Cricetulus griseus: one gene and its partner. The protein of the gene in region 1 interacts with the protein of each later gene in a pairwise test. Links are inferred from orthologs where the notes say so. Each region holds a gene or a part of one and is shown on either strand. Other genes may lie near its edges. The genes, in order: Swsap1 and Zswim7.

Region 1 (3,547 bases):
TTCTGTTTCTATATATGTATGTTCACCACTTCATGTCGGTGCCCAAGAAGGCCAAAAGAGAGCATTAGATCCCCTGGAGCTGTAATTACAAGTGGTTGTGTCTGACATGGATGCTGGGAACTGAAACTAGGTCCTATGAGAGAATTCTTAACCATTGAGCCCTCTCTCCAGCTCCCTAGTTTTTTGATTGACTTTGAGACATGGTCTCACTTTGTAGCCCTGGTTGGCCTGGAACATTCCGTATAGATCAGGCTGGCCCTGTGCTAGGATTAAAGGCCTAGCCCTTTTTTTTTTTTTTTCTGACAGGGTCTAGTGTAGGACAGAGTGGCTTCCAACACCTTAAGTAGCCAAGGATAACCTTGCATTGTGACTTCCTATCTCTACATCCCAAAGCTGGGCTTACCATTTTGCAAAACACCACGCTCAAACTCAGTTTAATGGCTTGAAAAATGTTATGTCCTAAAAAAGCTAAATCTGTGCATACTCTGTACAGAGTGATTCTACTTCCAACCGTATACCCTAAACACATGTGCAAGGTCATGTATGTGTATGTGATTAGACTCCCTAACAGTAATGTAAGCCAAGACACAGAGGTAACTCATATGCAGGCACCATAGAGTACACAGAAGAAGCCAAGTGTGGAAGCACACTCCATATGCCCTGCCCACAAGGGATGAGCCTGGAGGGTCAGGAGTTCAAGAATAGCCTCAGCTAAGTATTTGGTCTGAGGCTAGCCTGAGCTACACGTGATCCTGTGGGAAAAGAACACAATAAGTAAGAAGAAATGAACTAGGAAACCTCAGATGATTATATTTATTTATTTATTTTAAAGGTTCTATTTATTATTATTACTATTTGTGTGGAGGGCATGTGTGTGCTTCTACCCAAATGTGGAGGCCGGAAGACAACTTGCAGGAGTCAGTTCTAGCTTTCTACCTTATGGATGCTGGGAATCAAAGCCAGGTAATCATGCTTATTGGAAAGGCCCCTTATCTACTGAGCCATCTTGCAAGCCCAGCTCAGCAATGCTACATTTTCCAGGTCTTTGATTCCGAACCTGTCCCTGAAGGAAGTATTCTATCCAAGGGAAACTGAGGGTCAGAGAGGTTGCCACATTCCAGAGTTAATGACTGGCTTTCAGCACTTGAACACTTTTTATCTGGGCTGGGCTTAGAAGCCTGGGTAGGCCATGGGATGATCTTCATCTCTCCACTAGGTAAGAAGGTCACTGACCACTCCGTCCTGGGGCTCAGCTTGCCCAACTCCAGGCTGGCCCGCAGGCAATGGTGCTGTCCCAAGTCTAGGGCATCTGGCTGCAGCCAGCACAGTGCAGGAAAATACCGTTGAAGCAATGTCAGATGTGGGGCATCATTGTCTTCTTCTTTTTGGGTCTCTAGGGCCACCACAAGCCCACAGCTGCCATTGGCTCCAAGACGGTGGCTAAAGTAGGCAGCAGTATCCAGAAGCAATGCAGCTAAGTAGGCGGCTTCCTGGACCCCTGAGTCTTCAGCTAGATATTCTTCCAGGCCATCTAGCAGTAGAAGGGACGGGGCAGGCCCTGGGGTCTCATGGGCAGAGGCCAGAAGCTGGAGAAGCTCTGGAACTGAGGATGGGTACTGGAATCGAACCTTCTAGAAGACAGGAAAAGGCAAGATTTAACATAGGAGGCCAAGGCTCCCTACTATGGCTGCCATGACTCTTCCATATTTTCCCAGTCGAGCCCCATATATAAATTTCGAGGATGAAGCACCAGCTCAGATATTCTTTGTCCTTCTTTGTCACCTGTCCTTTTCCAGCTTGTATCACTGCCCAAAATCATTTTAGTTAAGATTCTTTTTTTTTCTTTGACACAGGGTCTCATGTAAGCCAGGATGACTGAAAACTCGTGATGTAGCCGGATGGCCTGACCCTTCTGAAACCACCTCTTGAGAACTGAATCACAGGCGTGCATTGCCATGCCGGGTTAGAGGAACGAAACCCAGGGCTTCATGCATGCTAGCTGAGAGCTCTATTTTATTGTTGTTGGGAGAGAGAACGCGTGCTTCCAAGGGAAACTAACTCCACTTTAGACTCCACCTCCTTGGCGCCCACGCCCGCTAATGCCGAGCGATCATAGGACGGCCTTTCATTCACTCTTAACTAAACCCGCACTGCCCCGCCCCGTGCGGCTACCCGCCTCCTCCACCCACTTCGTCCCCGTAGGCCTTCTGACGCGCCATTGGCCTGCCGACCTGTCACTCATGCACCACCTCTCTTGCCATTGGGCGACACGTTCCAGATCCGGCCCTCCGGTTACCTGGAGCCGCCAGGGGTTCCGCGCTGCGGGTGTATTGAGCGGCAGGCTCTGAAGCGGCCTTCGTGTCATGAAGAGGACAGGCCCGCGGCCTTCCCCTGCCGCCTCGAGGGCGGCCGCAAACAGCAGCGAAGTCTGCGCGGAGCGCGGAGCGCCTAGCAGCAGCAATGGCGGACCCGGAGCTCCCTCCTCCCCGGGCCCTGCCGCGCGGCCTTCATTCAGCACCCGCCTCAGCGCCTCCGCCATTTGCCGAGTACCGCTGACCAATCAGGGATGCGTCCTCCTCCCGGGCCCGCCCACACCGATGTTTCATTGGCTATAGTTCGCAGCGTCACTTTCGGTCTCTGGAGCTGTCGTAAATGGTCAAAACACGGGACATGGAGCAAAGTGGTGCGTGAGGGAATCTGCTGCCGGAAGCCGCGTGATCAGATTAAAAGAAAGGTCGAGGGTGCAAACGCGCTCCCCAGAGACGCCTAGCCGTGAAGGGCACCAGCTGCTCTTCCAAAAGACCTGGGTTCGGTTCCCACTTCCTACAGGGTGATTTGCAAGCGTCCTTAACGCCAGTTCCTAGAGATCCGACGCCTTCTTCTGGCCTCCGCGGGCACGAGACACACATACATACCCGCGTGCGCGTACACACACACACACACACACACACACACACACACACACACACACACACACACACCCTGCGTAAAAATAAATCTTAACAAACAAACAAGCAAACAAAAAACTGTAGGTCACCCTTAGCTACATATTGAAGTTTTCGGCCAGCCTGGGCTACATGAGCTCCTGTCTTAAAATAAATAATAAAAACCAGACTCCTAACCTCAGCTTGCCCACCAGCAAAACGAGTGTTGTGATCCCTTGGGGTCATTGCAGTGTGTTGGTGTGAATATCCGCTAATATCGCCGAAGGACAGTTCACAGATGGAAAGGGACAGCTGTTCGCTTGTCTCTCCTTGCTTGGATATGGGAATATGTTTATATGGGCTACAGATTTGGGACTCAGATTTTTTCTTTTGATAGGGTGCCAATCATTTTACATTTCCTGGAACTCTGAAGATGTCTTATGCTACCATGCCAAGTTAATGCAGGGCTGGGGATCAAACCCAGGGTTTGTACGTGTTAAGCAAGCACTCACCACACTGCCTCATCCCTAGCCCTCAATGAGGGATGTTGGTGTATGTGTATGTACTCCCATGACACGGTGTGCATGTGTTCAGAGATGGGATGCGGTTCTTTCTCTCCTACT
Region 2 (3,918 bases), on another chromosome or scaffold:
TACCTGGAGTTACACAAGGCTACCTAATATGATATGCAATCGGCAGGCTCCAAGGTTAACGAATACATTTATGAGTCTATTCAGCTGTTCTACTATGTGGATGACAGTGGCTGGAACTGATTCCCAAAGACAGTTTTAAGAATCTGCCTCATTCATGGTAGAAAATGACTGAAACTTACCTTACTGTGAAACACTGTGAACTATTACAATAAAAGTATTTTTCACTTACAACAATGGAAAAATAAAAGTTGGCTATACTAATGTATACTTGTTCCTAGGGCAGCAATCCAAAAAACTAAAGTATAATTCTTCAATCAAGATACTGTTGTGTTAATTTGGGAAGTGATATTCTAAGTTTTGAAGTAGAATTATAATTAAAAAAAACAATTTAAGATCAATATTTTCCATGTACACAAAATACTAGTGGTAAAAACTGAAGAAATGGGGTCCCTCCTTGACTGGAATCCTGCTTCTTAGACCTAAGTACTGGGTTTGCTTCTCTCCAAAGTTAAAATTTATTGGAACCCACAGTGTGAAAATTTTACTAGGCAAAAATACCTAATTGTGTATTCTATTCAGTGAAATAAACCTTTGTCAAAAGCACATTCACGGCACTGCCCTGGCTTGCTGTACTTAAGGCACTACCTGCACCTAACCCTGAAGGCTGCTTAAAGAGGAAGCTCATACCCAGTCCAAGTCTCTCAACTAGCAAAGGAATCTTGGTTTTTCTTTGCTACAACTCAACATAATGCTCATCCAACCAGAGAGCTGCAATATGTATTTGGCTTTTTATACAGAGGCTGTTCAATAACAGTTTGAGTATGGGGCACAACAATGTGGCAGGGGGGTCCCTAGGCTATGAAGTCACCTATTTCATCTACTTCTTGAGTTCCTAAAAGTATGAGTGCTTAGAGACTCAGGGAATTCCCGACCTTCTAGGGTCTTCTGGCTGTCATAACTTTACCTCTTGCGTCCTTTTCCTAGGCTGGTTCCTCTTCACAGTTATTTTCTCATTGCTCCTTTGTTCTCTGGGTCTATCTCATCTTTTCATAGTTATTTTCTCGTTGTTCCTTTGCTCTCTCTGGGTCTATCTTGTCTCTTCTTTCCCACACCACTCCTGGCACCTAGTTTGTCTTTTCTTTTTCATGTGAAATTCCTCGTAGGATCTAGTTCCCTTCCAGGGCTTTAGTGTATCTTTATCCTGCTATAAAAGCCTAGAAATGCTCACAGCAGACCCAGCTCTCCCTTTTTTCCACATCATTTCTCTCAGTGCATCCCCATCAGCTGCCCTGACACCAGCACACAGATGAGCTTAGCAGAAGGCCCCTCATCTTCTCATACTTGTTGCCATTTAGCTACATGTCTGCTCTAGTCCTTTACTAAGGAATAATTTTCTCATTTAAGCTTGCTCTTACTCAGTTTGGTCTACCATCCCACCTTTACAAAGTTACTAGTACTTTAGTAACCTGATCTAGTTGCAGACACATGGTATTGGGCTTTATTTGAGTCAACAATATTGAATTGTACCCAGGGATGTTTCTATCTGTGGGGCTCAGAGGCTGGTTCATGTTAAGATCATGTGGGGCTCTTAACCACACAACTCTCTGCAGCCTACAGTGCCAATCCAAAGCCCACCCTGCAGCCTATGAAGGCAAAGTGACAGTAACAAGTCCGGAAGTGTATCTTGTCCCTCCATCCTGTGAACCATGAGATGTTGAACATATTTCCTGGTAGGCTTCTGTCTTGAAAGCTGTTCCACCTGCACCTTTTATGCTTCTTGTGTCTTCTCCATCAATAATAGGTCTGTCAGTTGCTTGTCTGACACACTGAGCTGCTGGCAGTTTCTCATAACCTGACTAAGATAAATTGCCAGGAGATGCTTACACTGGAATACAAAACACAAACCTGTTAGGAACAAGAAAGATCATGTTTGGCCAGTCTAATCAAGACCCCTCACTATCACATGCAAGGAGGAGATCGAAACTTTGCCCTGCTTTCAGTTGGTTCTATCCTCGCCTTCAGAGTGTGGTTACAGCAATGGTTGACAGTCCTTGAGGCACTATACTGCTCTGTGTTCCTCACAAATGAGCTCATGCAAATCTAATAGCTATCCAGCAGGTTCAAACTTCATTATAATGAGCATGCAGAGCCTCTACTCCACTTTAACCATTGCTATCTTCTGGGGTGGGAAAAGAGCATCGGGAAAATTCTCACATATACACAAATGTGGGGAGATGACTCTGTTAGACCAATGTCACAGAACACAACATTGAATCCTGAGAGGACCATGGTTCAATCCTGTCACTTTTATAAGTGAAATATACCACACTAATGGCTAGTAGGGTGTGTATATGAATTAACAGAGATACTCAATTTGGCACCAAACTCTGAAGATGTTTAAACTGCTAATAGTATACAAAAAGGGGGAGAGGAGCTTGAGAGATGGCTCAGTGGTTAAAAGTACTGACTGCTCTTCCAGAGGACCCGGGTTCAATTCGGAACACCCACATAACAGCTCACAACTGTCCAAGATCTGACACAGACATACATGCAGGCAAAACACCAATGCAAACAAAATTAAAATAATCATTATAAAATATCTTTAAAAAATAAAGGAAAGGAATGAGGTGGACTTTATTCTTCTCTGACAAGACTAAGAACTAATCACCTTCTCTGAGGAGAGGAGGGTAGACGTTTCTTTCCCTTTGGAGCAAGCAGTGTGCAGACATGTGCTGTCCTTACTCTGATAGGCTCACAAAGACTTAGAGGTATAGATGGAGGTGTTCCTGGTCCATATGAGGGTGAATGTGAGGTCAAGCCACAAGCAGTGGGATGATGAGTGAGCATCTTTTATGTAGTTCTCTCTTTACTGGGCCATCTACTTCCCCAGTACACATTTCCAAGATTACATTACTGTCCCCACAACCTCCTCTACAACCTTTTAAATAAAACAGAACAAAACCCCCCAAAAAACCAGGAAACTGGTGAAGTACCAAAAATGACATTGCATTTTTGGAGATTAAATCCCAAGAGGTGACTAAGACAAGGACAGTGAACCACAATGTCTTCAACATTCAGGGAAATAACAATTCTATGTAAACCCTCCCCCACCCCAAAAATGTATGTGGCACTTAAAGTCTGATATGAGTCTAGCTCTTTCCCAACTTGTGTGCAGTGGCAAGAGCCCATTCTTACCAGCAGACTGTCACTCTTCCGTAACACTGAGAAGGCAAATGCTGGGCATGAGCAGTAATGACAGGAAGTCATACATGTGTATGTTTTGCCAGAACTCCCAAGCACCTGGGAGAAGGATGGACATTGTTAGAAACTCAGAAGGTTTGCTCAACACATAAGAGTTGCTGATGGACAGACATCATTGTGAAGAACTGCAGTGGAGTTGATACAAAAGAGGAAACGCAAGTTTTCTTCCTTCAGTGTACAAACTTTATCTCTGCAGCTTTCTAGGACTTTCAACAGTGGAAGAGTTTTAATCTAACCCAGCCTTCCACACAGCCTCTTGTTCCCATGTGATACACAGGTCTTAGCCTGTAGGGGGTAACAAGAAGTGAAGAGAAAAACTTGTGTGCATTTTACTGTGGGGCCCTTCATCTGTGGTATTAGCATTTGAAGACATTTCTAAAGCTACTGTTACATTCCCACAGAGTGAAAATGGGTAAAGAGTGCATGGGGAGGCAGGAACAGGCAGCTCTCGGATGAAGAGAGCAGAAAGGGGTGAAAGAAGCATTTGGGTGGGGAGAATAAATAAAGTGGAGTCTTGTGAAAGGGATGACTCAGCTGCTCAGGATGGAGGTCCCAGGAAAGGAGGCAAGTTCAGATCTGCCTACTCATCCAGCAGGATGGAAGAAGGACACAGACATGTGGGTGTTGGTGAAAGGCCTAGTACAACAAACACTCTTG

Evidence for each region.
Region 2: the proteins of Swsap1 (region 1) and Zswim7 interact in binary tests that used the Homo sapiens proteins (3 or more experiments, as listed by UniProt). The link is inferred for Cricetulus griseus from reciprocal best matches to the Homo sapiens genes SWSAP1 and ZSWIM7.

What each region holds. Positions count from the first base shown.
Region 1 is NC_048597.1:134,851,853-134,855,399, reverse strand, and holds Swsap1 (ATPase SWSAP1), read right to left. Parts: upstream 2,566-3,547; 5' UTR 2,540-2,565; coding exon 2,297-2,539; intron 1,632-2,296; coding exon 1,029-1,631; 3' UTR 800-1,028; downstream 1-799. UniProt on the Homo sapiens protein: ATPase which is preferentially stimulated by single-stranded DNA and is involved in homologous recombination repair (HRR). Has a DNA-binding activity which is independent of its ATPase activity.
Region 2 is NC_048600.1:76,290,698-76,294,615, forward strand, and holds the end of Zswim7 (zinc finger SWIM domain-containing protein 7), read right to left. Parts: intron 3,301-3,918; coding exon 3,196-3,300; intron 1,906-3,195; coding exon of another isoform or gene 1,886-1,905; coding exon 1,769-1,885; 3' UTR 770-1,768; downstream 1-769. UniProt on the Homo sapiens protein: Involved in early stages of the homologous recombination repair (HRR) pathway of double-stranded DNA breaks arising during DNA replication or induced by DNA-damaging agents. Required for meiotic progression, hence for fertility.